6 linked regions of the Macaca fascicularis genome follow. The protein of the gene in region 3 interacts with the protein of the main gene of each other region in a pairwise test. Links are inferred from orthologs where the notes say so. Each region holds a gene or a part of one and is shown on either strand. Other genes may lie near its edges.

Evidence for each region.
Region 1: the proteins of PPFIA1 (region 3) and PTPRD interact in a two-hybrid assay, tested with the Homo sapiens proteins (2 studies listed by BioGRID). The link is inferred for Macaca fascicularis from reciprocal best matches to the Homo sapiens genes PPFIA1 and PTPRD.
Region 2: the proteins of PPFIA1 (region 3) and PPP2R5D interact in binary tests that used the Homo sapiens proteins (3 or more experiments, as listed by UniProt). The link is inferred for Macaca fascicularis from reciprocal best matches to the Homo sapiens genes PPFIA1 and PPP2R5D.
Region 4: the proteins of PPFIA1 (region 3) and PTPRS interact in a two-hybrid assay, tested with the Homo sapiens proteins (2 studies listed by BioGRID). The link is inferred for Macaca fascicularis from reciprocal best matches to the Homo sapiens genes PPFIA1 and PTPRS.
Region 5: the proteins of PPFIA1 (region 3) and CCNH interact in binary tests that used the Homo sapiens proteins (3 or more experiments, as listed by UniProt). The link is inferred for Macaca fascicularis from reciprocal best matches to the Homo sapiens genes PPFIA1 and CCNH.
Region 6: the proteins of PPFIA1 (region 3) and TXLNA interact in binary tests that used the Homo sapiens proteins (3 or more experiments, as listed by UniProt). The link is inferred for Macaca fascicularis from reciprocal best matches to the Homo sapiens genes PPFIA1 and TXLNA.

What each region holds. Positions count from the first base shown.
Region 1 is NC_088389.1:90,156,327-90,161,838, reverse strand, and holds the start of PTPRD (receptor-type tyrosine-protein phosphatase delta), read right to left. Parts: upstream 3,299-5,512; 5' UTR 2,707-3,298; intron 1-2,706.
Region 2 is NC_088378.1:128,544,314-128,549,842, forward strand, and holds the start of PPP2R5D (serine/threonine-protein phosphatase 2A 56 kDa regulatory subunit delta isoform), read right to left. Parts: upstream 3,194-5,529; 5' UTR 3,105-3,193; coding exon 3,078-3,104; intron 1-3,077. UniProt on the Homo sapiens protein: The B regulatory subunit might modulate substrate selectivity and catalytic activity, and might also direct the localization of the catalytic enzyme to a particular subcellular compartment.
Region 3 is NC_088388.1:4,341,601-4,346,395, forward strand, and holds part of PPFIA1 (liprin-alpha-1), read right to left. Parts: intron 1,888-4,795; coding exon 1,741-1,887; intron 22-1,740; coding exon 1-21. UniProt on the Homo sapiens protein: May regulate the disassembly of focal adhesions. May localize receptor-like tyrosine phosphatases type 2A at specific sites on the plasma membrane, possibly regulating their interaction with the extracellular environment and their association with substrates.
Region 4 is NC_088393.1:5,985,361-5,990,155, reverse strand, and holds part of PTPRS (receptor-type tyrosine-protein phosphatase S), read left to right. Parts: intron 1-100; coding exon 101-276; intron 277-357; coding exon 358-477; intron 478-2,331; coding exon 2,332-2,486; intron 2,487-2,571; coding exon 2,572-2,857; intron 2,858-3,053; coding exon 3,054-3,232; intron 3,233-3,971; coding exon 3,972-4,098; intron 4,099-4,182; coding exon 4,183-4,308; intron 4,309-4,795. UniProt on the Homo sapiens protein: Cell surface receptor that binds to glycosaminoglycans, including chondroitin sulfate proteoglycans and heparan sulfate proteoglycan.
Region 5 is NC_088380.1:91,395,443-91,400,990, forward strand, and holds the start of CCNH (cyclin-H), read right to left. Parts: upstream 3,140-5,548; 5' UTR 3,030-3,139; coding exon 2,913-3,029; intron 1,591-2,912; coding exon 1,468-1,590; intron 1-1,467. UniProt on the Homo sapiens protein: Regulates CDK7, the catalytic subunit of the CDK-activating kinase (CAK) enzymatic complex. CAK activates the cyclin-associated kinases CDK1, CDK2, CDK4 and CDK6 by threonine phosphorylation.
Region 6 is NC_088375.1:202,837,714-202,842,508, forward strand, and holds part of TXLNA (alpha-taxilin), read right to left. Parts: intron 2,919-4,795; coding exon 2,724-2,918; intron 369-2,723; coding exon 249-368; intron 18-248; coding exon 1-17. UniProt on the Homo sapiens protein: May be involved in intracellular vesicle traffic and potentially in calcium-dependent exocytosis in neuroendocrine cells.

The sequences.
Region 1 (5,512 bases), on a different chromosome or scaffold from region 3:
GAATCACATATGAATTTGCACCAATACCTTTTCTCTTTTCTATTTTTCACACTCTATATGAAAATCATAGTGTCAGAGAAGCCCTAAATAAAATTCTTGAAATAGTCTTCAATCATTGTCTACAACTAGCATCAGAGTATGAGTTAATGTATTAAAAAGGAAAAAACAAAAACTTGGGGGGAATGCCTACGTGATTTTTTTTTTTTTAATGTCTCTCTAGGAAGGCTTTGCATATGCCATACCAGGATACCTCCTGGATATAAGAACAGTTATACAGGCCCCTAGTGGCTTAGCAAATAGCAGCAGATGAGGGGATTCCAATTCTTAGTTCCAGACTTTGAGATATTCTGGATTTAAATAAGAGTCCATCTTAAAAGGCAAATCAAATCACTGTATTTAATACTTTAAGCAGTTTTACATCTATGGTTATCTACTCTAATGCACATATATTAAAATAAATTGCTGCATTTCATTACTTGAGTAACTGCACAACTGCTCTGGCCCAAGAAGAATCTGTGTTACATAACCTACACAATGAAACGTTTAATTCATCCACCTCTTTACATGTCATGCAAAAGTAATACATTACTCAACTATATTAAAATATATTTGAGAGAGACACTGTTCCTCTTTGAATCTTATTCCTATTATATATTACTAAGCGCTATAAGAACAGATGATTTCTGTGTAAAGTACTATTTAAAATAAGATACAGATAAAAATTGAATGCCACTTTTACAGGAGTAAAAATCTAAACGTATTTCCCAATAACAGCCAGTGATACAACTCACATTGGAGTGCACCTATTTTAAAAGATCTACAATTAATAACACCCATTAATCCCCCATCCCCTTGCTGTCCTTCCTTCACAAAAGAAAATTCCAGGCAGGCACATTTACAGCTTTTAGCAATTTTTAACTGGACACAATCTGACAGCTGAATTCATGAAACTGACCAGCTTGTCAATTTCACACTTTGAAAGTACAATAATAGCTGATAGCATGAGGGTGAATTTAAGAAATCTGCCACAGAATTGCTAGCTCCATTGAAAAGCAAAGTACAGTACATAATTATGGAATGTGGGAGGTAGGGAAAATTTTACTGTCCATTTAGGATGTCTGTTTCCGTAAGTCAGACACGGAGCACTGAAAATGTGTTCTCTTTTTGCTATAGTGTCTGTAGCATAAAACAGAATATATATTCAAAGTAAGAAAGATACTAAGCCTTTTACTGGATATTATTATATTACATATACAACTTAATCTTAAGTTATTATCATCTACAGATCCCTTTACATCAGAATGTTTCAAGTCTTGGTATATCATCCTTGTTTTACTCAAGTTGAGTGGTTGGTGTGTGCACTTTGAAACAGAGAAAAAATACTCAAAATGGTCAGAAGTATCTGTGATTGAACTAACTCCCCACAGACGTGCTACAGGATGGTTAGAAAAGAACACACCAAAGGGTAAAGTCCACATTTGTAGCTCAGTAAATCTAACAGCAAATCTATCTCAAGTCATAAGCAGTTACTAGCCTTTCAGAGGTTCAAAATGTGTTAGCTACACTCTGTTAAGTCACTGGCACTGTGTCTTTGGGCATGTAAATACATGTGTATATATATATATAACTTTAATAGGAAATACAAGGAGAACGATCCCTCAGGAATCTTCCTAGATACTTAAGGTGCAAACTGTAGATGAGGCTGGGGGGTTACTCTGAGAATTTTAGAAAACAAGAGACATTTGGCAAGTAGTGTACTGGGAGGCGAACTGGAAACAATACAAGTGGATTGTGATAGTCCTGGTTTTGGAGAATGGAACTACTATCTGGAATTCTGAAACACCCAATTAGTGAAAGCCAAGCTCACACTTGGTGTTCGAGATTTTAAGCATAAGACTTAAAAACTGACTTCACATGTTTGTGTTTTTAAATGAAATTCAACGTCCAGAGAAGCAATGCAAGTTTTCTACACACCTACATAAAAGCTACAATAAATCTATAGGAAAGCAAAAAATCTTTGGTTTGTTCGTGGCTTTCTTTTTAAATTGTTTCCTACAACTTTGCCTCTTCATTACAAATGATGCGTCCCCTTCCCTACGGAATGAATGTGTGTGTTAAGTGCACCAGATTCCCGCAGCTGAACTACGAGCTTTGATTCTGCCACGGAAAGGTCTCCCAAACAATCCCCCTCCTCTATGGCAGCTGCGTAGACTTTGATTCCTGTTATTTCTCCTTCTCCCCACTAGTTCAGAGGAAAGAAAGAAAAAGAAATCGCCCCCTCACCGTAATCAGCCCTCCTTAAAACAGTAATCCTTGCCTTTAAAAAAGGCGGTGGCAGGATCCCTGGGTAAGGGTGCATTGCCCCACTGCTCCACCATTCCCCCCCAAATACTACGCCCACCCTAGGAGGAGAAAGCGGGGGTCGCACAAATACACATACCCGGACACCCTCATTCTCTAGAGTCGCCTCTCTCCCGGGTCTAAGGTTTCAGGCGAGAAGTGAACCCTGCAGGGGAGGACCTCTGCCCGAGGAGGTTCAGAGGAGCAAACTGTGCGCTCCGCTGCCCGGGCGCCGGGCTCGCGGAAGCGGGAGCGTGTCGCTCTGGCCGGGGAGGCGCCGGCAGCCGGAGCTGCGCGCAGGGCGATTCCCGAGCAGCCAGAGGGGAGAACACAGCGGGGCGGACGGGGTCAGTTCCAGGGACTTACCTGGTCATGTTGGCTCTGGGCAGCAGCCGCCACCGCCTCCCGCGCCGCCACCAGCACTTTCCTCCAGCGCCTTCGCGCCCTGCCACGGCCGCGCAGCCGGCGCCGGCCCGCGCCGCCGCCTCCGGGCGGCCAATTTAATCCCGCGGAGCAGCGGCCGCTGCCGCGGAAGCCCCTCTGGTCGCCGCCGCCGCCCAGCCCTCGTGCGGCCAGCCCAGTCCAGAGCGAGGAAGTGGAAGAGAGTCAGCGAGTGAGTCCAAAAACCCGAAATCCAGCATCCAAGGGAGCGCGTCCCCCCGCCCTCCCTCCACCCCTACCCCCTTTTCCTCCTCCTCCGCCTCCTCCTCCTCTTCTCGGGCCGTCCTCTTGGCCCTTCTGAGCCCGCGGCTTCCGCGGCGGTTTCTCCTCCTCTCGCTCCTCCTGCTCGCCCGGCGCCCGTTTCTCTCGCTGCCGCTGCCGCCGCCGCCGCCGCCGCCGCCGTTTGTCTCCTCTCCCTCCTCCTCCTCCTTTTCCTCCTCCTCCCGCTCCTCGATGCTCCGCCGCTCGCGGCTGGGGGGTCCGGGGCCGCGTCTCCTCTCCTCCCTCCGCCTCTCCTGTTTCCTCCTTCCTGCTGCCTCTTCTTTTAAAGCGGATTCTTTGGCCACAAATAGCAACTCGGCTGCCCCCCTCGGTGCCTCCCTCCCCTTCTTCTCTTCTTCCCCCCAAAAGTGAAGCGCACGCGAGGTAATCAGAAACTGAGGCTCGTGGGGGGAGAGGGGTGCGAGGCGACGCCTGGGAAAGGGCCCGAACAGAGTCAAGGGCCGGGAGGTGGGGTGGCCAGCCCAGCCCAGTCTTTGGACCTGGCGTGAACCTGGTAGTTACGGCTGCAGACGAGGTGGTTTGGTGGGGGAAATTAAACAAAAAAGCCCAGGAAAGTAATTGGAAAGGCTTCTCTCTTTGTTTCCTTGTCTGGGTGATTTCTAAAATCCTCGTAACGTGCTGGGGATCCCACGGTATTGCTGTGCTCCAGCGCTGGGGGATTGTGTGTGCGCGTTGCCTGCGCGTGAGTGTGAGTGTGGGTGCGCCCGGACGCGGGGAGAGCTGGGCCTGCTGCGCCTGCTGGCGAATCCCTGAATCTGGACCACTGACCCACTGAAAGGGCCAGAGAGCTGGATGAAGGAGGGGCAGGCAGGAGTGGTGGGTGAAGGAGGCAACACAAACACACACACACACACACACACACACACACACACACACACACCCACCAGAGGAGGGGGCGGGGTGACGTCACTCCCCAGCATTCATCCACCAGGCCAGAAAAGACCCTCTCTAACAGATTCACTCATCTCCTAAGAGATGCACACCCGGGCGCTTCCTGCTCTGCGTCCCAGCGCAAAGGAGGAAAAAATGCTGGTCGCGCCCTCTTCACAGCAGTGATAATAATATAAGGAACGTGCTTTAATGAAACACAGTTTGTGTCCGCCCCAGTTCACCTTGGCAGCCTCCTTCGGGAATGCTTGTAGGATCCACTTTGAAGGCAACGAGGAAGGCAGGGAAGTATTGAACCAAAATCTTAGTGTGATAACTTGTTTTGCTATCGTGCCACTTGCTTTTATGATGTTGGAAATGCAGTGCTCCTCAGCTTCTCTGAAGGACACTATAACACCCTCTTCCCTAGACAAGCACCCAGTTGTTGGGCTATGCACTTCTCATCCACACAACCCAAGGTGACTAAGGTGCACTGTGTGTGTTGTTAGCTAAGAGATGGATTTTAACCTTCTTCGCTACTCACAGGATCTCCAACATGTGGAAAAAGTCAGCAGCTGGAAGCCACCATTGGCAGTTGGCCCATCAAAATTTATTAGAAACTTGGTCAGAACGGTTAAATAAAGTAAAGCTAGAGCTCACCAGCCACCTCGATTGCTCATTCTATGTTCAGGCCAGCACATACACACAATACTTATTCCTGTAGACTCCAGGCTGTCTTTGAAAGAGCAAACGTAAACAGACCCCCTTAGATTTGACTTAATGATCCAGCATCCTGACTGTTTTCTCAAGCTGCCCATTTATTTCCACCATCTGCATGCTGTGCTGTTGAAAGCCACCAAAGGATTGGTCAGTAATCCTCTGCCCCCTATGTACTCCAAAAATAAGTCACATATTTTTGAAAAGAATCTCGCTAAACGAAGTTCAGTTTTCTAGCAATTTGGGGGTGGGGGAGGAGCATCCTTGCATGATTGTCTCTTGGTTTTTTGTTTTTGTTTTTTTATGGTTAGCGTCATAGTGAAAATCAGGAAGAAATCAATTCCTGTGCAAGCCTCCAAGCTAGGTTTACCCTCCAATCATTCTGATTTCACAGCAGTTGAAAAGCTGTGCAGGGATGATGGACACCTGCCCCCTGTGACCTAAGGATGGATCCAGAAATCTCAGCCTCCCCACAGGTGATTCCACCCAAGATGTAAACTCCAACTTGGCTTTCTCATTGCCACATGCGCCCCCATAAACTGGCAATCCCACTTTCATCATCCAAAGTTGCATGTTAGAGAAACAGAAAGTTTTAAAACCCCTAATATTCCTTTGCTGTTACTTTTGTGGGAAAGAAATGTATCCCTCTGCCTGCGAATCTGACCTCATTTAAGAAGAACCCAGCTGGTAAATCTGACTGCTATATGGGAACATAGTTGAGGAAATATCATCTTACACCACTGGTAGCGATTTAAACTAGCTCGAAAACTCAGTGATGATTGTTACCAAGGAGAGCAACAAGCAAGTAGAAGAAAAGGGACCCAGAAATCAGGGGATATGCAGAGGACAGTACAAGTAAATGGCA
Region 2 (5,529 bases), on a different chromosome or scaffold from region 3:
GCAGGTACCTGTAGTCCCAGCTACTCAGGAGGCTGAGGCAGGAGAATGGCGTGAACCCGGGAGGTGGAGCTTGCAGTGAGCCGAGATCGTGCCACTGCACTCCAGCCTGGGCAACAGAGCGAGACTCCGTCTCAAAAAAAAAAAACACGAACATGTTTGGACCCAGCCCTGTGTTTTGGGCCCAACTCTTACTAGCTATATAATCATAGACAAGTTAACTAGACTCTCTAAGCCTCATCTCAGAGAGAGTTTCCTCATCTATTAGATGACGACAATATTAGTACCCTCTTCCCTCAGCACAGTGTTAAGGCACATGAAAACCGTAGTGCTGGTCAATGTTATTACTATTACTATTAACAAGAAAAAAGTCGGAGGGGGCAGGGGCACCCTACTCAGGAAAATAAAAGAGGTAAGTCCCAGAGGAGAACATGAAGGAAGGGGAGAGAGGCGAATCCCTCCAAGAGATTATCTTAGCACCTATCCACTAAGCACCTACTTACTGTGTGAAAAGGAGTTGCCAAACAAAATGAAACTTAGTTATTATCTCAAGGAGGAAGAAAAGGCTTGTCCACAATTAATTCCCATCCAAGGCCAAACACAAAAGGACCGTAAGTGGCCTACTAAGTGCTCTGCAAATCCAGAAAAGAAAGGAGAGTTCACTCCTGACTGAGGGCTCAGAAACGCTTTAGAGAGGAAACTGTAAAAGATGGCCAGGAGAGAGGAGACAGGTCACAGAAGAGCATTAAAGATCCTCCACCCACAGGCATCCAGGCAAACCTCAGTCACACTGTCAACCCCCCTCAGAGCCTGCCAACCCCCCTCAGAGCCTGCCAACCATTGAAGAAGGCCAAATGCAGCTGAAAATCAAGAGCAGAAAACCTTATAGGGAGGTGAGAGTTATGCCTGGCTCCACGCACCCCAATCCTTCCAACACCTTTTCCCAACCAAACGCTTACACCCATGGTCCTAGCAAGTCTCACTGGGAATTTGTCGTCTTCTTCACAGACTAGTAGGCTATTGCTTTCTGGGGATGGGACAGTATCTAGTCCAACAGATTAAAAATTACAAATGGGTGGGGACCTCACCAGCTTTCTCCGAATTCCATTTCCCTTAGCCCCTGGTGTGGTTGATTTCTGTGTGCATTGTCTACAACTGAGCTACCCAAACCACCTCCACATGCCCACTCCCCAAGGACAGGGCCTGGGTGGGGCACACAACCCTGTCCAGCTCACTACCCCCAGAAGGCTCACCATGTGGTACACCATCACCAACCCTGTACGTAGAACCTCAGGCCCTGAAAAGTTAAGGGGACAACCCAGAATCAGAGCTGCCTGGCAAATACAGAACAACCCCAGGAGAAAAAGTATGATTGAAAAGGTCAGAGATGGCAGCCCAGTAACCCAGCCAATCAGAGGGCAAATGAAAGCAATATACCTCTGGGGTCATCAAGCAGGTGGCCAGAACACCAGGCCAGAGCCAGCCCCCACCAAAAAGGGCCAGCCCCAGGAGAGGAGAAGCTGGGGGAGGCTGGAACTGGTATCCTAGCATCCTTTGTGTGAGTCTGTACCTCAAAGGAACCACACCTCTGAGTCAGACCTCAGCAACAGCAGGAAACAGAGGGTAGAAAAAGGCACGGATGAGGAACAGAGGAAGGCGGTACCAAGGTAGAAGAAGAAGGTGAAAGAAAGCAACATTTAAGAACTGGCCTGTGGGTTCACACCTGTAATCCCAGCACTTTGGCAGGCCAAGGCGGGCAGATCCCCTGAGGTCAGGAGTTCAAGACCAGCCTGACCAACATGGAGAAGCCCCATCTCTACTAAAAATACAAAATTAGCTGGGTGTGGTGGTGCATGCCTGTAATTCCAGCTACTTGGGAGGCTGAGGCAGGAGAATCCCTTGAAGCTGGGAGGCAGAGGTTGTGGTGAGCCGAGAGCGCACCATTGCACTCCAGCCTGGGCAACAAAAGCGAAATTCCATCTCAAAAAAGAAAGAAAGAAAGAAAGAAAGAAATGGCCTGTGTCAGGACATCATGACAAAGACATAGGTGTTCAGGGGTGGCTGGCCTGCAGGCTAAGAAGAAACAATAATCTGACAGCGAGCGCAAATTCCCAATTTGAAGACGGTGTAGCTCAGGAAAGGCAGAAATTCAGCACCGGTGCAAAAAGAAACAAAAAAAAAAAAGGAAAAATGCAAAGGTTATCCTAGGATTAGGAATAAGGATGTGGAGCCTTCTCAGATTTGGAAAGGTGACTGGTTTAGGATGCACCTGGGAGCCAGTTAGGAGGGCTTTGATACAAAAGAGGCCTTTAAGTCAGGAGACCTGATATTGCAGCTGGGCCTCCAGAAGTCTGTGTGACCTTGGACAAGTCCCTTGCCCTGTCGGGGCCTCAGTCTCCTCATCTGTACCATTAGGGATTGCACTGCATGCGCTCAGAGGTCCCTTACAGCACCGTCGTTGTAAGGTTCCATCAACAGAAGGGCTCAGTCCTGCTTACAAGTTTGTGTGTGAAGGAAGAACTAGAGGGAGGGGCCTAGGCCAGATTTGGGTGGAGGAGAGAGAAAGCAGCGCTGTTCTAGGTCAGGGGCTTGGCATGGAAAGAGAAGGGGCCGTAGGGGACTGTGGGGCGGCTGTCCCAGGCGGGTAGGAAGAGGAAAGGGGCTGCTCAGGGCGGGGGGAGGGGGCAATTCTGGAGGAACGTGCAGTTTCAGATGAGGGGCTGCCCAAACCGATGGGACATCGGGGCCAGGGGTGATGGGGGGACAGAAAAAGCAGGACAGTGACCTGGGAATGGGGCAGATCTGGAAGAAGGAGGTTACCCTGGGCCGGGGGTAAGAGAAGGGAAGAAGGGAGGGAGGTGTATGTGGGGGGAGTCTCTCCGGGCAAGGTGGGGGAGCTGTCCTAGCTGCGGCACAAGCTGGGGGTGCTGCCAGTCGCGGGGGCGTAGGGCTGGCCCCAGGAGTCCTGCGGGGGCCGGACGGGAGGGTCAGTCTGGGGCCGTCCCGGGCCTGGCTCCGGCCCCTCCCAGAGCTCCGCGCAGGCTCCAAGGCGGCGGTGCGGGAAAAAGGGCCACGCTCACCTTCTCCTTTTTCAGTTTATAGGGCATCTCGGCCCGTCCGGACCCGGCCCGTCTCCTGCGGCCCCGCTCCGGCTCCGGCTTTGCTCGGCCGCACTCGGCCCGCTCGGCGTCTCTTCGCCACCGCCTGCGCGCAGCGCCCGGGTCGAGCGGTGCCTGCGCCTCCAATTGGCCCGAACTCCTACAAAACTGCCTGACAACCAGGCGCCGCCTCCTCGGATTGGTCATTGGAGCCAAGCTGCTTCCTTTTTTTCTTATTGGAAAGAAATAGTACAAACCGCCAGGGTTCGGCTTCCAGAATTGGCTGAAGTGGGTGGTCCCGCCCTAAAGTGGGTCGAGCTTAGCGAAGGAGGCGGGGATAAGGGAAACCCAAGCTTGGCTAGGACTGCTGCACTCCAGCGTCTGCTGTGCGTCGGCCTCGGCCATTCTTCGCGGCGCTTGGAGCCCTGCTCTTTCCTTCTAAAGGGGCTCTCACACTTTGCCTACTATGCTACCCTGTATAGTCGGAATTGGAGGAAGGAAGCCCTAATACGGAGGGCACCTTTCTTCACCGGGGTAAAGTAACGCTAATTGCGGATGCAAAATTGATGGAGGGAGCTCCCAAGGACCTTCCAAGACACCCGCCTCCCTAGACAGGAGTTGCAGAGGAGCAAAGGGGAAGCCTGGCAGGGCTAGGACCTGGTCGAAATGAGATGAGAATCCTTGGCTTGGTGTAACTTTAGGAAGAGGGTCCCCGTTCCTACTGCAAGTGTACTGGGATTGGGGAACAACTAGATTTCAGCAGTTGGGAACACAGTGGAAAAGCAGCTTCATTGTTGAGTGTCTGAGGAAATCCATCCCTTACTTGCCACCCTGCTCAAGTCAATGTTCTAATGGATAAGACTCAGTTCATGCCCACAAAGAGTTCGCAGTCTGGTGGATCACAGACGTGTATAAACAAAGGATTAAGAGAGAATGTAAGCCAGGCAGGCACGGTGTCTCACGCCTGTAATCCCAACACTTTGGGAGGCTGAGGCAGGTGGATCACCTAAGGTCAGAGGTTCGAGACCAGCCTGGCCAACATGGCGAAACCCTGTCTCTATTAAAAATACAAAAATTAGCTGGGTGTGGTGGTGCACGCCTGTAATCCCAGCTACTTGGGAGGCTGAGGCAGGAGAATCACTTGAACCCGGGAGACAGAGGTTGCAGTGAGCCGAGATCACAACACTGCACTCCAGCCTGGGCGACAGAGCAAGACTGTCTCAAAACAACAACAATGACGACAAAAAGAATAAGCCTGTGGCCAAGTGCGGTGACTCACACCTGTAATCCCAGCACTTTGGGAGGCCGAGGTGGGCAGATCACGAGGTCAGGAGTTTGAGACCAGCCTGACCAACATAGTGAAACCCCATTTCTAGTAAAAATACAAAAATTAGGCAGGGTGCGGTGGCTCACGCCTGTAATCCCAGCACGTTGGGAGGCCAAGGTGGGCAGATCACGAGGTCAAGAAATCGAGGCCATCCCAGCCAACATGGTGAAACCTCCTCTCTATGAAAAATACAAAAATTAGCTGGGCATGGTGGTGCGCGTGGTGCGCGCCTGTAGTCCCAGCTACTCGGGAGGCTGAGGCAGGAGAATCGCTTGAACCCGGTGAGTGGAGGTTGCAGTGAGCCAAGATCGTGCCTCTGCACTCCATCCTGGCGACAGAACGAGACTCCATCTCCAAAAAAAAGAGAAGAATAAACCTGTGATGCAAAGGCATAAGAATGATACAATGGGCCAGGCGCGGTGGCTCACGGCTGTAATCCAAGCACTTTGGGAGGCCGAGACGGGCGGATCACGAGGTCAGGAGATCGAGGCCACCCTGGCTAACATGCTGAAACCCCGTCTCTACTAAAAATACAAAAATTAGCCGGGCGTGGTGGCGGGCGCCTGTTGTACCAGCTATATGGGACGCTGAGGCAGGAGAATGGCGTGAACCTGGGAGGCGGAGCTTGCAGTGAGTGGAGATTGTGCCACTGCACTCCAGCCTGGGCACAGAGCGAGACTCCATCTCAAAAAAAAAAAGAATGATACAATGGACTTTGCGGACTCAGAGGGAAAAGATGGGAGGGGAATGAGGGATAAAAGACTACACACTGGGGCCAGGTGCGATGGCTCACGCCTGTAATCCCAGAACTTTGGGAGGCTGAGACAGGCAGATCACATGAGGTCAGGAGTTCGAGACCAGCCTGACCAACATGGCGAAACTTCATCTCTACTAATAATACAAATTAGCTGGGCGTGGTGGCACATCCCTGTAATCTCAGCTACTTGGGAGGCTGAGGCAGGAGAATCACTTGAATCTGGAAGGCAGAGGTTGCAGTGAGCCAAGATCATGCCGTTGCACTCCAGCCTGGACGACAAGAATAAAATTCCATCTCAAAAAAAAAAATACTACACATCGGGTACAGTGTACACTGCTTGGGAGATGGCT
Region 3 (4,795 bases):
CTGGCGGTTTTTATCTTCAGTCTATAAAATGAGAGCAAAGCATCAAAATGCAGCAAATCTTCTAGCTGTATCAGTTTTTAGCAGATTGAAACAAACTGAAATGCAGATACAGACTAAGAGAGTCATGATGGAAGAGCTACAGTGATGGGGGTTGCTTCTGGGTCAGGTGTGTGTGTGTGTGTGTGTGTGGTGTGTGTGTGTGTGTGTGTTGGTGTGTGTGTGTGTGTGTGTGTGTGTGTGTGTGTGTGTGTGTGTGTGTTTTGAGATAGTCTTGCTTTGTCACCCAGGCTGGAGTGCAGTGGCACAGTCTCGGCTCACTGCAACCTCTACCTCCCGAGTTCAAGCAATTCTCCTGCCTCAGCCTCCTGAGTAGCCGCAATTATAGGCATGTGCCACCACACCTGGCTAATTTTTGTATTTTTAGTAGAGACAGGGCTTTGGCATGTTGGCCAGGCTGGTCGTGAACTCCTAACCTCAAGTGATCCAACTGCCTCAGCCTCCCAAAGTGGTGGGATTACACGTGTGTGCCACTGTGCCTGGCCTGGGTCAAATTTTCCTGTTGCCTGGAGTACATGCCCACTTTCCTGGGCTTCGTTTCAATGTGCAAAACACCTCTTGCCAAAGTATTTGCTCTTCCTAAATAACTTCTAAGAAACTTTTTTTTTTTGTTTAAAGACAGAGTCTCGCTCTGTCACCCAGGCTGGAGTACAGTGATACTCTTACAAGAGTAAGTATGGTTTAACGAAACCACAGGAGACACAATTTCTTACTATAGACTTCATTGCCTTTTTTTTTTTTGAGACGGAGTCTAGCTGTGTCGCCCAGGCTGGAGTGCAGTGGTGCAATCTTGGCTCACTGCAATCTCTGCCTCTCAGGTTCAAGCGATTCTCCTGCCTCAGCCTCCTGAGCAGCAGCTGGGATTACAGATGTGCATCACTATGCCCAGCTAATTTTTCTATTTTTAGTAGAGACAGGGTTTCACCATGTTAGTCAGGCTGGTCTCAAACTCCTGACCTCATGATCCGCCTGCCGTGGCCTCCCAAAGTGCTGGGATTACAGGCGTGAGCCACCGTGCCCAGCCGCATTTTTTATTTTAGACACGGGGTCTTGTTCTGTGGCCCAGGCTGGAGTCCAGTGGCACAATCATAGCACAGTGAAGCCTTGAACTCCAAGGCTCAAGTCATCCTCCCTCCTTAGCCTCTTGAGTAGCTAGGGCTAAAGGCACATTCCACCATGCCGAGCTAATTATTTATTTTTTTAATTTTCTGTAGAGACAGGGTCTTGCTATGTTGACCAGACTGTTCTCACATTCCTGGGCTCAAGTGATCTTCCCGCCTCAGCTTCCCAAAGTGTTAGAATGACAGGCATGAGCCACTGCGTCTGACCAAGACTTTATTTCTCATACCATTCATTTATCATAGTGCTCCCACTTAGTAACAAATAGCCAGTTGCCTTGAAGTTCTTTGCCACTCTCTCCTCCTTTGGTAAAAATGCTAAAAAGCAATAGATTAACTTTCAATTACAACAAAAGAAAAAATTGAGGACAAAATGGTTAAATCAAATCCTACGTTATCAAAACCTGTAAACTGAAGGAACTCCCACATATCTTGAACATAATATTCTAAGGTCATAAAAACTTGATATTTGGACTTGATTTCCAACATGAAAGTGAGAGAAAAAGGGTCTTTAATTTCATTAATAATTAACTGAAGCCAGACAAAGATCGATAAAATCCATTACCTGTCGATGCATAGAATCTTTATTTGCAATTTCATTTTCAAGTTTATCATTGAGGTCATGCACAGATGTGGCTTCACGCTGTGCAGCGAGGTAGCGTTTTTCAAGAGTAGTGATTCTCTCTTCCATGTCTTCCTTTTGGGCCATGGCCTAAATTAGTATTTCAGAGGGGACAAAAAAGTACGTAATTAACAGATTACACATTAAGATACTTAAGAGAGAAAAAAACTGAACTAAATCCCAAATTTCCAATCAAATTAAAAATTAGCATCTTCAGGCCAGATACAGCAGCTCACTCCTATAATCACAGTACATTGGGACGCTAAGATGGGAGGATGGCTTGAGGCCAGGAGTTCAAGACCTTGTCTCTACAAAAATATTGTATTTTATTTTTTGAGACACAGTCTCCCTCTATCACCTAGGCTGGAATGCTGTGGTGCAATCAGGGCTCACCACAGCCTTGACTTCCCAGGCTCAAGGGATCCTTCCACCTCAATCTTCCCAGTAGCTGGGACTACAAGCGCATACCACTATATCCACTAATTTTTAATTTTTTGTAGAGATAGAGGTCTTACTATGTCGCTCAGGCTGGTCTTGAATTTCTGGGCTCAAGAGATCCTCCTTGGCCTTCCTTTGGCCTCCCAAAGTGTTAGGATTACAGACGTGAGCCAGCATCCCTGGCCAAAAAAATTTTAAAGAAACAAAAATTAGCCACGCATGGTGGCATGCCCCTGTAGTCCCAGGTACTTGGGAGGCTGAGGCAGGAGGATTGCTCGAGTCCGGCAGTTCAAGGCTGCAGTGAGCTATGATGGCACCACTGCACTCCAGCCTGGGTAACAGAGAGAGATCCTGTCTCAAAAAAAAAAAAAAATAGTGTCCTCAAAATTAAATTGAAGACGACGTCAATTTTCTCAAATGTGAATGAAAATGTAACTACCTCAAATATCATATTCACCTATACGATTAACAAAGACTTGTCTCTCTTAATACTATGTCTAGCCACTCAGTTGACCAAGTTTTCCCATTTCTACATAATATTATAAACATATATACACTCAAATATCTAAATATTTTTCAAGGAGGTGAAAGTGACCTCAAAGACGACGCAGTCTGTGTCTGCCTCACGCTACAAATGGTCTTACACAGGACAGGGTGTGGCCTCTCTCAATGGATACAGTAGTGAGATACAAGTCTCACTTTCTAGGATAAGGGTTAGATGAAATCTCATACAATTACAAGATTCAGGCATATTGACAAATGGAAACAGAAGTACAAGTTCAATTTAATTGGACGCAACTACCTGAAGTCTGCAAGATGATTACTAAACAGTATCAAACACTTAAGGCTAGGACCAGAACTTTTTGCTTGTGAAATACCTGTCCTCCACCCCCAGAATTCACTATTTTCAAGTTGTTCCCTATTTATAAAATGACTAAGGTTAGCGAAGTGATAACTATTAAAAGTGACTACTAAAAGTCATAGGGGAAAAAAGCTCAACATCACTGATTAGAGAAATGCAAATCAAAACCACAATGACACAGGATCTCACACCAGTCAGAAAGGCTATTATGGAAAAGTCAGTAACAGATGCTGGTGAGGTTGTGGACAGAAAGGAATGTTTTCCTACTGTTGGTGGGAGTGTAAATTAGTTCAACCATTGTGGAAGGCAGTGTGGAGATTCCTCAAAGACCTAAAGATGGAAATACCAACCCAGAAATCTCATTACTGGGTATATACCCAAAGGAATATAAATCGTTCTATTATATAGACACATGTATGTGTATGTTCACTGTAGCACTATTCACAATAGCAAAGACATGGAATCAACCTAAATGCCCATCAATAGTGGACTGGATCAGGAAAATGTGGTACATATACAACATGGAATACTATGAAGCCATAAAACAGAATGAGATCATGTCCTTTGCAGAGACATGGATGGAGCTGGCGGCCACTATCTTTAGCAAACACAGGAACAGAAAAACAACATACCTCATGTTCTCACTTATAAGTGGGAGCTAAATGATGAGAACACAGGGACGCACAGAGGGGAACAACACACACTGGAGGGTAGGAGGAAGAAGAGGATCAGGAAAAATAACGAATGGGTACTAGGCTTGGTACCTGGATGATGAAATAATCTGTACAACAAACCCCCAGGACACAAGTTTACCTACGTAACAGACCTAAGCATGTACCCCAAACTTAAAAGTTAAAATAAAAAATAAAAAATAAAAGTGATAGGTCTTAAAAGAATTTCAAAATTCTCAGCATGTTAATCTCTGCCACATAATCTCCCGCTATAGCCAAAGAATAGAACCTAGCAGGTGATACAGCACACACACATGCTCTTCCTGTGGCGAATTCCTACATGAAATTACTCATGCCAAACTATCACACTGAAAAGCAGACGTTCCACGGTTGAGGCGCCTGACAAGGGACAAAGCGCAGGTTAGAAAGTGACAGGAAGGGCACCTGAGAAAGAACTCAGCCTCACTGTTCCATGATCAAATAGTTTCTCATAGTGATAATGGCAGAAATACTTGTCAGCAATGAGTATACTGCGACATATTTTTACTATACGATCCTGATGACCCACGTAGAAGCAAATTCCACTCTTGATTATTTGTCTGACCATCAATATTCAATGCCACGAGTTCCTTGAAGGAGCAGGTCAGAAAACGAGAAGACCGCCAGCAACGCCCCTTCCCACAGTTAACAGACTATAGTCACATCGCCCTACGTGAACTAGCACAGCCAGGATCAACGTCTGCTTGCTGAACATAAGAACAAATTAAGACAGCCTAGAAATTGCACAGATGAAGAATCTACAAACAAGGACATTAAAGAATATCAAAGCAGCACAGGTAGGAGGGGCTGGTGTGGCGTCCACTCCATGGCCACATCAGTCAGTGGTACTAGTTCTCCTCTATTTTGAAGCGCTCAGGGACAGGAGATTTCACAACAAAAATGGGGAGGTATCTTATCGCAGTTTCACAGCACTCTTTCTTTTTCAATATAACTTATATAATAATACAAAGGTTGAAAGTAATTGGGA
Region 4 (4,795 bases), on a different chromosome or scaffold from region 3:
CGGGAGCAGTCAGAGTGAACTTCCAGGAGGTGGTTGGCCAGACAGAGCCAGCCTGGCAAGACAGCCCCCACAGATCCCTGGCCTCTCGCCCCGGCTGCAGGCATCGTGGGTAGTGATTACATCAATGCCAACTACGTGGATGGCTACCGGCGTCAGAACGCGTACATTGCCACGCAGGGGCCGCTGCCCGAGACCTTTGGGGACTTCTGGCGTATGGTGTGGGAGCAGCGGTCGGCCACCATCGTCATGATGACGCGGCTGGAGGAGAAGTCACGGGTGAGCCTTGGACCCCACGGCCCTCAAGCCCTCGCCAGCCAGCCTGGCCCTTGCTGACACCTATTCTGTTGCCTGGTCTAGATCAAGTGTGATCAGTACTGGCCCAACAGAGGCACGGAGACCTACGGCTTCATCCAGGTCACGTTGCTGGACACCATCGAGCTGGCCACGTTCTGCGTCAGAACATTCTCTCTGCACAAGGTGAGGCCCGGGCTGGGGGCTGAAGGTGGAGGAATGTGTTGGAAGGGAGGCAGAGGGCCCCAGCTTCTACCCAGGGCACTCCCCATAGGACAGAGAGAAAGCCAAGTGTGTCTACCCAGACTGACTTCATTCTCGTGGAACCCACTTCCGTGGAGGGGGAAACTGAGGCTCAGAGAGAACACTGCTTGTTTCCACCCACGGCAGGACAAAGCTGGCAGAGCCCAACTCAGCAATGAGCCTGATTTCCTCTTGCCTTTACTCATGCCCCAGGTCCTCTTTGCCCACTGTCCTCTGGCCTCACCCAGCTTGAGCCTATGATGGGGCCTCAGCAGGGCCCCAGCCCTGTCTTCAAGGAGTGTCCAGACAGAGATGGACAGATACTAGCAGCCCTGTGAAGTCAGGGCTGGGATGGAGAAGATCTTTTAGATACGTATTTAACTGATGGCTGCTGTCCATAGTGTGGTTCCATCTGTTTTTCTCCATCTGTGGTTCTGAATTAGGACAATTCTGCCATCCAGGGGACATTTGTTACTGTCATAATGGGGAGGGGAGGCGCTACTGGCACCATGATGTATCCCCAACACCCAGCCAGGTCATTGCACCATCAGGCACCTGCTTGATCTAAGTACCAGAAAACTGAGTACATGGACAAGAGTGAGTGAGAATTCTTGGTTCAATCACACACATTAAACACGTGTTATGTCTCACTCGCTAACCTGGACACAAGCACACAACAGGGACCTAAACAGATAAAACGTTCTGCCCTTGGGGGACTTAACAGTCTAGTATACAAGACACAGACCATGACTGAAACGTCAAGAAAGCTTACGTGTTGGAGAAAAATAGGGGAGAAAAACAGTGTCAGGGACCTGGAAGAGGGTATGATAGGGAAATTTGGGAGAAGAGCATTTCAGGTGAGAGGGTGTAGCCTACGCAGAGGCCCTGGGGCAGGACCGTGCCTGGCGTGTTAGAGGAACAGCAGGGAGGGCAGGATCCTGTGGACCTTGGGGAAGACTTGGGCTTCGACCGTGTGGAAGGCAGGAGCCATGGAGGGCTGTGGACAGAGGAGGGACCAGATCTGACTCAGGCACTCAGGTGCCCTCTGGCTGCTGCAGGGAGGACAGACTGAGGGGTTTGGGTGGGAGCCAAGGTCTGGGGCAAAGAGGGTGGTGACAGTTCTAGCCCAGGTTGGCCTCCATGGAGAAGAGCAGGTGGATCGGGATAGACTTTGAAGGCAGAGCCGACAGTCCTGGGTGAGGTGTTAGATGTGAGAGGGGAGAGTTAAGGGTGACTCTCAATCTGTGGCCAGAGTGCCCAGAAGGTTGGAGCCATTGGAGCCACCTTCAGCTAAGATGGGGGAGCAGGGTTGGGACGAAGGCCAGATACAGTTGACCATGTTGTGTGAAGAGTCCACAAGACTCTACTTGGAAACATCCAGGGGCAGCTAGAGCCCACGTCAGGCACTTAGAGACGTGGAGACTGGGAGGTGCAGACATGGGCATTTTTTTTTAGATGGAGTTTCGCGCTTGTTGCCCAGGCTGGAGTGCGATGGTGCAGTCTCCGCAATCTCCACCTCCTGGGTTCAAGCGATTCTCCTGCCTCAGCCTCCCGAGTAGCCGGGATTCCAGGCATGCACCACCACGCCCAGCTAATTTTGTATTTTTAGTCGAGACAAGGTTTCTCCATGTTGGTCAGGCCAGTCTCGAACTGCTGACCTCAGGTGATCCACCCACCTCGGCCTCCCAAAGTGCTGGGATTACAGGCATGAGCCACCGGGCCCAGCCATTTGGGCATTTTCAGCACATGGGCGGCAGGGTGAGCCAGAGTGACGGGTGACATTCTTGTGGTCCCCAGAATGGCTCCAGTGAGAAACGCGAGGTCCGCCAGTTCCAGTTTACGGCATGGCCAGACCACGGCGTGCCCGAATACCCAACGCCCTTCCTGGCTTTCCTGCGGAGAGTCAAGACCTGCAACCCACCAGATGCCGGCCCCATCGTGGTTCACTGCAGGTACGTCCACCCCGCTCTGCCCCATCTGCTTCCCCCGGCCCCCGCAGCCCAGCAGCCCCTGAACTCCACGTGGCTGTCCCCGCAGTGCCGGTGTGGGCCGCACAGGCTGCTTTATCGTCATCGACGCCATGCTGGAGCGGATCAAGCCAGAGAAGACAGTCGATGTCTATGGCCACGTGACGCTCATGAGGTCCCAGCGCAACTACATGGTGCAGACAGAGGACCAGTACAGCTTCATCCACGAGGCCCTGCTGGAGGCCGTGGGCTGTGGCAACACAGAAGTACCTGCACGCAGCCTCTATGCCTACATCCAGAAGCTGGCCCAGGTGGAGCCTGGCGAGCACGTCACTGGCATGGAACTCGAGTTCAAGGTGCCAGCGGGGTGGAGGCTGCCGTGGGCAGGGTGGGGAGGAGGCCCAAAGAGCCAAAAACCAGGCTCGCCCCGAGCGATGGGGACTAGAAGGTGGCGGCGGGGTGCCCCTACCTACCTATCCACCATTGGTGCTCCAGCTGAACGCATAGCCTTCCTCATCCTAATGGTGGCCCTTGGCCTCCTCCTCCCCACAGCGGCTGGCCAACTCCAAGGCCCACACGTCACGCTTCATCAGTGCCAATCTGCCTTGTAACAAGTTCAAGAACCGCCTGGTGAACATCATGCCCTATGAGAGTACACGGGTCTGTCTGCAGCCCATCCGGGGTGTGGAGGGCTCTGACTACATCAACGCCAGCTTTATTGATGGCTACAGGTAGGTGTCACGCCGTTCTCACCTCGGGGCCCCAGAAGGACCCCATCTCTGCTTTCAAGAGGCCCCCAGTCTTGTGGGAGACAGAGCTGGAAAGATACTGGCAGTCCTGAGCTGTTTAAATACACATCTTTAGATGTATATTTAACCGATGGCTGCTGTCCATAATGTGATTCCATCTGTTCTTCTATATCAGTGGTTCTCCACTGGGGTAATTCTGACACCCTGGGGATATTTCTTATTGTCATGGTTACTACTACTGGCACTGACTGGGGACACCAGCATCCTACAGTACATAGGACAGCTTGTCCCAGAGAACACTCCAGTACCAAATGTCAATAGCACTGAGATTGAGAAATCCTGGCAAGAGAGGGGAGGGCGTTCCGGGCAGAGGGTGCCACACGTGCGAGGGCCCGGAGCTGAGAGCCGGGCCCGTGGAAGCAGCTGAAAGTAGGGCAGTGGCCCTTGAAGGAGGTGGAGGGGAGAAATCAGGAGAGGTTAGTGGACAGTCCCACAGCTTTGTCAAGGGATTTGAATTTGTCATGAGGCTGGTGGTTTCCCCGCATGCAAAACGGGATCACCAGGAGGGGATGTGGTGCACCCGGCATCCATTCCTGGCAGGCAGTTGGGGTGGTGGGTGTAGCTGTTGCCGGCTTGGTCCTGACCCTCCCGGGGCAGCATCAGGTGAGGACCACGCTGGGTCTCCCCGCCAGCCCTGGGCTCACACACCCCATGCCTGCAGGCAGCAAAAGGCCTACATCGCGACACAGGGGCCGCTGGCGGAGACGACGGAAGACTTCTGGCGCATGCTGTGGGAGAACAATTCGACCATCGTGGTGATGCTGACCAAGCTGCGGGAGATGGGCCGGGTGAGCCAGGGACCGCGGCGGGGAAGGGCGAGGACCAGACTGTGGCTCAGACAGCACTGACCACGGCCACCCTCTCCTCTGCAGGAGAAGTGTCACCAGTACTGGCCGGCCGAGCGCTCTGCCCGCTACCAGTACTTTGTGGTAGATCCGATGGCGGAATACAACATGCCTCAGTATATCCTGCGAGAGTTCAAGGTCACAGATGCCCGGGTGAGTCTAGAGACAGATTGGCGGAAGGGGCTGGAGTCAGGCTGGGCCCCACAGGCTGTTGCCTTAGTGATCTGGAAAGGGCTGCCCTGTTTGGTGATGGATACGAAGGCCGAGGGTAAGGGATGAGCGCTAGGAATCAGGAGAAATGTTAGCGGACCAGTTGGCCACTTGCTCCTACCACCACATAGGTGGAAGACAGGGTCTTGTCTCTGTGCTGACCCTGTAGTGTCTCCACGCACTAGGGAACATGGTCCCAGGGGATGATATTCAAGGAAATGAATGGGGCTTTCCCCTGGAAGCAGCCACCTGTGGAGGAGGATATTAAAAGGCTGAAAGGGACTTGAGGAATTGAGGGTGATGGGTGGTAGACGGGGGACAAGGAGAGTCAGATGGTGGGGATTGGCACTGTTGGGTGAGGAGAGATGAGTACGGATGGTGTTGGCTCAATGAAGGACTGCAGTGTCAGGTGGAGGGAGAAAGGCCACAT
Region 5 (5,548 bases), on a different chromosome or scaffold from region 3:
TATAAAAATAATGAGCAAGGCAATAAGCCTTCTCTCTAAAGCCACTACATATTTGTGATATTGTTTTGTATCCATTCCCATGATTTGTGATCACTGCTGCCAACTGAATGGCAGAAACAGCACTACCATTTACTGAATGCATACCAAGTGCCAGACTCTGTGATAAGCACAAAACTATCATCATGTTTTAACCCTTACAACAGCTTGGTGAAATATTGCTATCTCTACAGAGAAGGAAACTGAGTATCAATGAGGTGAACTGACTTATCTAGGTCACACAGCTAATAAGGAACAGGAATGAATTCAAGTAAGACCTGCCTGTACTTTTAACCATTATATCATTTGGCTGGAACCAATGAAATAACCACTAATCTATTTTATGATAGAAAAAAGAATATTTCCTTTTAAGTATTTTAAAAGTTTAGTTTTGTCATTATGTATAACAAAAAATTATTCACCAATGATAAACATGTTATTTAAAAATAAATTCCATAAAGAAGTTCATTAAAGGATTTTTTTCTTCATTTGATAAGATCACTTAAATTTACTGCCTCATTTTAGTTCTTTTGTAAGAATAAACCAAATCTGAAGATATAAACTAATCAAGTATACCTAAAACTCTCTCTGAATCTTTGATATCTCAGATGAAAAAAAAATTATAAATTCTATGGACTTAATATTTTCAACATACTTCAAATTTTTTTCAACTATAAAAATGGAGATAATTTCCCAGAAGATTATTCTCTACTCGGTCGTAAGCTAGTCACACTGTATAACTTTAAAATTTAACAGTCTTTTACTTAAGATACACTTCTATATTTGTTCTTTGCAACAAACCTGTGAGAGAATAACGTAAAGACATTTTAAACACCCTCCCACTCTAGCTTTTTTATCTTTCTGCTTTTTAATCTCAGCTACCTGTTTCTCCTCACGGTTGCCCACCCCAGCAAAAAACAAACAGGTCCTCAGAACCATACATCTGAAGCAATAAGACAATCTTTTTTAACCAAAGATAAAACTCCAGCTTCTACTAATTAAGGCTTAAAAAAATCTTATGGTATCAGTTTCAGCTGGGGCATATGATTACCAATTATGAAAGAATGCATTACTTCAAACATTTATTGGGTGTCACAGAGTTGGAAAAGCAAGTAGTCTATGTTCTAGTCCCAGTTCTATGGCTCACTAGTTGAGAACTTAGAGGAAAGTAATTTATTTTGTTTCTTTCTTTATAACATTACCTGACCTCAAATTTTTTTCTGACCACAAAATGAGACTTGAAATACTTTTGAAGATATGATACAGCAATTCAAGAGTTAAGGCCTGAACTGAAAAAGATATAATGTGCCAAAAACTAATTAATTGTAACTAACGTGAATTTTTAAGACTAGAGTGGACAGGGAATTTAGAAGAGGTCAAATTTCACAAGTCAACTAAAGGACATTATATTTCATCACTACTGTAACTTACCACAACAGACCTTGGCATTGCTGGCTTAAACACCGAACAGAATTCCAATAACCTTTTCTCATAGTATTTGCAGAGTGTCATTTCTTCATGAGGCTCAAGAAAGACTGGATCATTCGGAAGAACCTTTAGATCAACAATTACAACACAAGTTCAATGAATTCAATGAATTAAACAATTGTAAAACATTTTTCTCTATCCAGATTAAATTTAGTTTATATCTCCAACGAAGGGGAATATATCACGCCTCGTTTTCTTTATAGATTCGCTAATCATTACACAAAATAGCTGTAGGAAAACAATAAACTAAAACTGTACCATCATTTCACAACTTTTCGGAATGTCAGCTAGACCTTTGCTTCATTATATAAACAATCACGATAGGCTATGTGCATATGCTCACAGCTGTGATATCATTATTTACAAATTTAAAAGTAGATAGACTTTTTACAAATATGATTGGAAAGCTTCCAACATTCGTTTCTCGGTCAGTCATTACGACACAAGTTGTAAAAAAACAGCAAATGTTTCAATAAATTTCTGTTATTTTAAGCTACCCAGTCTGTGGTGATTTTTTTAAGGCAGCCCTTAAGGAAACTAATTCAGGTGCTAAAATCAGTGATGTGAATTAAAGGTAGAAAGTAAAGTAATTCAGTGTCAGTAATTTGGAGGCACTGAACACTTGCTGGAGTGGAGCTTGTAAGAAAGATTAAACCAGTCCTAGAGCTGTAACAGAAGGGACTTGGCTAGCGGGCCACAGTCCAAACCTTATCTTTAGTCACTTGGTTTGTATTCCGTCGCCGGTCTCCCGCCTCATCCAACCCATTCACCACGAGGTTGCTAGAGCGCTGTTTCCAGAACGGAAATCTGATAAGGTTAGCTTCCCATTTTAAATATTTCAAAGGTTCCTCATCCTTTCAATGGAAATTTCAAACGCCTCACTTCCACTTACAAACAAGTTCCCTTCCTACCCTCCCCAGCCATTCCTGTACAGGTACTCACATTCGGCCACATACGACCACAAACACGTCCACGCACCAGCCCTGTAACTTCTGACCTCCCTCCCACTCTGCACGGTAGTTCTGACTGCCTGGAACGTCCTTTCCCCATTTTCTCCGCATTGGCTACTGGGAAAAACCTTCCCCAACATCACCGCTTGACAAGTGAACGGCTCTTGCCACGCACTACCTTAGCACACTACCTACTCTCTTCTTCACCACGTTACAAAGACTGGTTACTTGTCTGCCATTCGACCACGGGGATGGCGTTGTTCGTCTTTGTACCCACGGAACCTCGCGAGGTGCTCGCTTATTTTAATAGATAAACGCACTCCGCGCCGCAGAGGCAGAGAAATGAGGGAGTGAGACTGTCCTGGGAGCCAGAAGAGCTCCCGCAGCTGCTCAGAATTTAGTGACCAAGCAACTGGGCAACCGTCGGGAAAACCTCACCTTCCCGTTGGCCACCGCTTTGCATCTGAATTTGCGGTTGGCGTCGGCCCGCAGTCTTGCCAGCTGCTCCTCACTGGAGAAAGTCCAGTGCCGCTTCTGGCTACTGTTGTGGTACATTGTGGAATCGTGACCAGGTCCAGACAGCCTACAGGTGACAACCCAACCGCAGCAGTGCCGTGGCGTAAAGCAACCGAACCCCCACCTAAGATCTCGCGGAAGCCTAGGGCGTCCGGCCAGCCGGCGCGGGCGCGCTGACGTCACGACTGCGTGTCCAGCGCGTACGCAGTCGCATTTCCGGAGCGGACTAGGAAGAGACCTTATCCAGGGTTCGTTGGGGCGCCCTCTGAGACGTAGGTGGGCGGAGCCTACGGAACGCTCCTCCCGGTGAGCCTGGGACATAGCTCCGCCCCTTCCAGGCAAGATTTAAAGGAGAAGCCCGGCAGGAATGTTCAAAAGAGGCATAAACTGAGGGTGTGGGGTAGGTTGATGTAAATTCACAGGGTGTAATCAGAAATTAGGAAAGGACTTGGTAGGGTGTTCATTTTTAAATGGAGGCCTCACTGAAGTTGACATTTGTGAAAAGGCTTTTTCGAGTTGAAATAGTAGGTTGATCAATCATGTAGGGAGATCATGGGGCCCAGAAAGAATAGGTAAGATCTTCAGGCAGAAGCATTCCTAGCCCTTTTCAGGAGGAGTTTGGAGATCGGTGTTCTTGAAGTACTACCAGAAATCTCTGAGAATGGAACATGGCTGAAAAACTTGAAGCAGTGGATGTGTATTGGCCCTTACAGTTTGCCACTTTTGTTGCCTTGTCTATTCTTTCTCTGTGCAAAAAGCACTTTCCCTTCTGTTGATAACTAGCCAATCCTCTCCCCCTATTTTCACCTCTGAAGCCAAGATGTATGGTAGTTTTAGTTTTCTTGAGATTCCCATCTTCATTGCCTCTAGGGAATCTTACAGTAAGCTATCATGAATATTAAGGTATTTACTAGTTTTTAAATTAATAGGACTTTCAAAATTGCAGGTGAGATCCAAAATTTATGTTGATTCTGAAGTGTCCCATTTAGGCATACCTTATTCTCTCATGTATTTATTATATATCCAAATTTCCCTATGGCAAATAGCTTTTCTAAATAAATAAATAAATAGAAAGAGAAAGATGATGAGACCTAGAGAATTTAGGTCTTGAAAAGCCTAAAAAGAAGTGGCAGGATGGCTTTAACTCTGCTTTCTATGAAAATGTTTTTAGAGGCTTAAGATAGGGAAAGTCTTTTCTTGTTCATTTTTGTTGGGTGCAGTTGAGGTTAGAGTTTGCCAGAGTTATTTGAATTCCTCAAACTTATGCCATTTGTGGTTTATAATTTTGGCGATCCACACACTCAACATATGTGGCTAATCTGGTGTCGTAAATTGGCTAAGAGAGAAAAAGAGAAAGAGAAGATTGAAGGGCATGGCAAATTGATAACAACGAATTGTGAACAACCTAAAATGTTGCATATGGGGGAAAGAATAATTTAATGGAGAAAAACATTAATGGTACAAAAGATAGGAAAATAAGTGATCTAGATAATTAAATGTCTATATAAAGTATTAGACTCATGACAGTTATATATATCATATAAATTCTTTTCATTTTGTTTTTCTGAAAGATATTTGACAACTCCTTAGTTTTATGTAAAGGAAAATAGAAATAGGCATTTAAAAGAGTTGGCAGACTATGATTTCTACAGGGATATGAGTAAAATTTCTGAATGTCACTTAGGAAAAATATATGAAAAACTTGGCATTGCTGGTGTAACTTTTTTTAAACCTTGAACAAATTTTAGTTCATGAAAATTGACATTGATCTTATTTTTCAGTTGTAGTAGGAATTGGGCTGTGTCTAAATTAACTGTCTGCAGAATACAATTGTTGCTGATGCCCTAACATTAAGGCTCATGTATGATTTTTTTTATTAAAGTAAGCAGACTGGATGCTGTGATGGTCTCCTACTTAGCCTGATGTGCGAAAGTGTTTCTTTGCTATTGCTACCACAGGAGGCACACTGGAATGTAGAACTTGTGCATTTACCTATTTCCATTTCTAGTTTCAACTAAAAAGCAGCAGGTGTTTCTCTTCACTTCTATTATTTTTACTTACTTTATTTATGGAAAATTTCAAATATAAAGAATACAGAGAAATATATTTCAAAAATTATCAATACATGGCCAATTCCCCTCTACCCCCACTCACACCTCCATTAGGTTTTTTTCTTCTTCTTCTTTTTTGAGACAAAGTCTTGCTCTGTCACCCAGGCTGGAGTGCAGTGGCACAATCTCTACTTACTGCAATCTCCGCCTCCTGGATTCAAGCCATTCTCCAGCCTCAGTCTCCCGAGTAGCTGGGACTACAGACTCATGCCACCACGCCTAGCTAATTTTTGTATTTTTATTAGAGATGGGGTTTCACCATGTTGGCCAGGCTGGTCTAGAACTCCTGGCCTTAAGTGATCCACCTTCCTGGGCCTCCCAACTCCATTAGTTTTAAATCACAATTTCCCTGCTACTAAATGAAGATATTTCAAACAAGAACAAACCAGCTAACCAGATAGAACCTATTCTTCCTAGAAGAGTAATAGGGAAATTCATAGCTTGTTG
Region 6 (4,795 bases), on a different chromosome or scaffold from region 3:
ACTGCCTCTTTCAGGAGCTATTTCCAAGACAGAACCCCAGATGCTGTCAGAAGCCCCCAGGGGCTATGTTTGGTTTTTAGCCACAAGCACCAAACCCACCAAGGTTTCCTGCTCTCAGACTGATACTCAAGGAATCTGTGCCTGGTCTGGCCAGACAACTTCTCCCATATAACCCGGCTATGAACTGAGCCACAGCCCAACCTGCCTCCTCCCACACCCCCATCCCAACCCTGGGGCCTAAGCCTCACAAAATCCTTCTCCCGTTGGTGCCGCTCTTCTGCCTCCTTTAGCATCTCCTGGGCCTGCTGGAGCTTGGCATCCACCAGCTGCTGTTGTAGGTCCTTGTGTTTGAAGACTTTGTCGATATGCTGCAGCAAAGATGGTGGGAGCCGTCAGCTTGTCAGGAGCTCCTTTTCTCAGGGTGGCCCCACAGCCAAAGACCAGGGCACTTTGCCCAGCCCCCCATCTCAATCTGATATGCTGGACTCCCATGTGTACCACACAACATGGGCCCCAAGTCTCTGGAAGGTCATCTTTCCAAGCTCACCTCGTTTCTCTCCCAGTGAGTCAGACTTTGGTAAGTACATGGTTTATGGATGGAATCTGCTCCCAAGAAGCCAAGCAATAAACACACTCAAATCTCTGACCCCAGGATTGATCACCTATGGGGTTGGAAGCCCTCACTTCTGTGTCCCTGATTCTCTTGTAAATGGGAAGAATGGGCAAAAACAATGCTTCTAAGAACATGACAGCCTAGCTCAGTAGGCAAAGACTTGCCATATCTAGGCAAAGACTAGACATGTGCATCCCTAAGGAATGGCTGTCCTGCCTACTGGAGGAGCACTGGGGACTTATGTCAGGTGAGAGAGAAGGGATGGAGAGAAGGTGAAGGATTCAGGTGCTACTTCAAAGGTAAAATCAACTGGACTTGCTGAAATAAGGGAAAATAACTCCATTTTTTTGGATGGGGAAGGGAAGGAGCCTTGCAGGTAAGTCCAGTTTGGGTATGATGAGAGTGCTTGTGTCTATCTGGGGAGGGCTGTAAATGCAAAGCAGCAGGGCCTGGTAGTCCTGCAACTCCTTCTCCACAGGTAATACTAAATCCTTTTCTGCCTTGGTGGGGAGAGAAAACGGGGGTATTCAGATTCTTGAAGTTCGTGTCTCACTATAGTGGCCCAGGAAGCCTCTATGTCTCAGTGCTGAGGGATAAGAACCAAACCAACTCCCCTCAAACCAAACAAGCTGCTTTGTTCCCAGAGGATGAAGTCCGGCAAGGAAAGGGGTGGGTCAGGGGAGTGCCCTCTAGGTCCTGCACACACGATCATCACACTGGCCTATGAATCTAAGAGGGCAAATCTTGCCCATCTCACCACTGCCACACCCCAGGGGCTAGGAAAGGGCCTATTCCAGAGCAGGTCCTCTGCCAGCCCTGTAAGGGGGCTCCAGGTCTCCCTTCTCATGATGAGAACGCGCCCACAACAGCCAGGTGACTGGATGGAAGACCCAAAGATTCAAGTGCCTGGCGTGGCAGCCAACAGTGACAAAGGGAATGACATGCTTTTTTTTTTTGAGACAGAGTCTTGGTGTGTCACCCAGGCTAGAGTGCAGTAGCACAATCTCAGGTCATTGCAACCTCTGCCTCCTGGGTTCAAGCAATTCTCCTACCTCAGCCTCCCGAGTAGCTGGGACTACAGGCGTGCACCACCATACCTGGCTAATTCTTTTGTAGTTTTAGTAGAGACAGGGTTTCACCACGTTGCCCAGGCTGGTGTTGAACTCCTGACCTGAGGTGATCCACCCGCTCTGGCCTCCAAAAGTGTTGGGATTACAGGCATGAGCCACCACGCAGGCCTAATAATCCTGCCTTTTTTTTTTTTTTTTTGAGACGGAGTCTCGCTCTGCCGCCCAGGCTGGAGTGCAGTGGCCCGATCTCAGCTCACTGCAAGCTCCGCCTCCCGGGTTTATGCCATTCTCCTGCCTCAGCCTCCTGTGTAGCTGGGACTACAGGCGCCCGCCACCTCGCCCGGCTAGTTTTTTTGTATTTTTTAGTAGAGACAGGGTTTCACCGTGTTAGCCAGGATGGTCTCGATCTCCTGACCTCGTGATCCACCCGTCTCGGCCTCCCAAAGTGCTGGGATTACAGGCTTGAGCCACCGCGCCCGGCCAATCCTGCCTTTTAAGTGGCAGGAGCAGCAAGGAATCAGTGGACACAGTCTCTGGAGTCCATCACTGATCACAGGCACAGCCCCTCCTCTGCAATTCCAAATTCTACAAAGCTCTGAAAATGGAAATTGTCATAAGCTGGCAGCCAAACTTGACCTGCATCATTGTAAGCCCATAATCTAGGTGAGTATTTGGAAGTTCTACTGCATAAACATTAACATGTCTGGCTTCCCCAAGGCCCTGCTGAGGGTGCTATATAACACACAGTCCACATATGTGCCTCCATTCTAAAATGTGGATAGTTCTAATTCCAAAAGATACCTGGCCTAGTCGTTTGGGATAAGGCACTGTGGACGTGGGGCTGTGTGGCTGTCAGTCTCTTCTCCCCACCTGTTCTTTATCTATGAGGAATAACATTACTCTCCTCCCAAAGAGGAGGAGGAGGAGGAGGAAGAAAGGGAGAATGGGAGGAAGCCTGAAAAGGTACTGTCCCAGTGCCTAGCACACACTCAAAAACCTCACAATTTCTGGGCCATGATTGCTGTTTGTGATACCCTTACCTCCTCTCGCAGCTCATACTGCTCAATCAGCTTCTTGAGCCTCTCAGCCAGCTCCATGTTCTCTTGGCGCAGCTTGGAGTTGCGCTCATTGTGCTGTTCCATCTGTAGCTGAATGTCATTCAGTGTCACCTGGAAGTGTGAGGTCACCTCCTTGCGCTTCTCCTCCTCCTCCCGGGCCCGCTGCACACCTTCTTCCTGGGCAGAGAAGTCAGCCCTAGAACCATCATCCACTGCTACCTCACAAGGGTCCCCCAGCTAGTCCACAGATGGTCTCTGCCAACAGCCCTCCCTGCTCCCAAAGTGAGGAGTAGCCAGGCTCCAGGATGTTGTGCAATGCGGGTTCCAATGGACCCCCCTGTATATCAGGTGACATCAAGTGAGATTCTCCCCCTACAAAAATGCAGGTACATGGCAGGCGCGGTGGCTCACGCCTGTAATCCCAGCACTTTGGGAGGCTGAGGTGGGTGGATCACGAGGTCAGGAGTTCGAGACCAGCCTTGCCAATATTGGTGAAACTCGTCTCTACTAAAAATACAAAAATTAGCTGGGCGTGATGGTGTGCACCTGTGGTCCCAGCTGCTTGTGAGGCTGAGGCAGAGGAGTCGTTTGAACCTGGGAGGCGGAGGATGTGGTGAGCCAAGATTGCGCCACTGTACTCCCACCTGGGCGATGGGCCACAGAGCAACACTTTGTCCCCCCGCCCCACAAAAAAAAAAAAAGAAAAAATGCAGGCACACATGCACACATGTAAGTGCCGTTCTGAAGCAAGTCGGATCTCCTAAGGCCTATTCTTCCAGATTTCAGATTAATGTGCATTTGTCCCCTCTGTACCCCCAGAGACCAAGCTGTTAAAATTTAGTAACACCCAGGGTTTGCGAAGTTGTGTAGAATTAGGCACTCAACACTTTTGATGTGGCAGGCACACTGCCCCCTTACTGGAAGGCAATCCAGCAAAATCTATTAAAATGAAAAATCTGCATATACTGTGACCTAGCCATTTCACTTCCATTACTTATCCTACAGATAAGTTCTATATAACTGACCAGTGATAAATATAACAAGAATTTTCACTATAGTTCTATATGTAATAATGAAAAATTGTAAACAACCTCAAATGCTTTAACTAGGGCACTGATATATCCATATGATGAGAAAATAGCCCTACACATACTGATAGGGAAAAACGTTATGTAAAGTGAAAAAAGGCATAAGTTACGAAATGGTACATGTATAATAATTTCATTCCAGAAACTACAGATAAGATTTTACATATAAAAAGGAAAGTTAGAAGGCTGTATTTAAAGTTGCTGTAACCACAGACTGACCTCACTATAGAAGCAGCAGAACATGGGAAGGACCCAGGTTCCTGACTGACCAACCTCTGGGACAAGAGCTGCTTGTCAGAGCCAGGCCTCCTCCACTTACCAGGGGACTGTCATTTCATTAAGAAATACTGACGCCAGTGCATTATGGATTCTCTTAGTACTTTATCCTTCACCTTAACTAATACATGTCAAATGGTTATAAGCAGCATTCTCTAACGTAAGGTATTATTGAGAAAGTGTATTTCTTTTTTTTTTTTTTTGAGACGGAGTCTTGCTTTTTTTGAGACGGAGTCAGGCTGGAGAGCAGTTGGCACGATCTCGGCTCACTGCAAGCTCCGCCTCCCAGGTTCACGCCATTCTCCTGCCTCAGCCTCCCGAGTAGCTAGGGACTACAGGCGCCCACCACCACACCCGGCTAATTTTTTTTTTTATTTTCGGTAGAGACGGGGTTTCACTGTGTTAGCCAGGATGGTCTCCATCTCCTGACCTCGTGATCCACCCGCCTCGGCCTCCCAAAGTGCTGGGATTATAGGTGTGAGCCACCACGCCCGGCCGAGAAAGTGTATTTCTATGCCACAAGTCTGCATTTTTTTTTTTTTTTTTTTTTGACACCAAGTCTCACTCTGTTGCCCAGGCTGTAATGCAGTGGTGCAATCTTGGCTCACTGCAACCTCAGCCTCTCGGGTGCAAGCAATTCTCGTGCCTCAGCCATCTAAGTAGCTGGGATTATAGGCATGTGCCAGCACA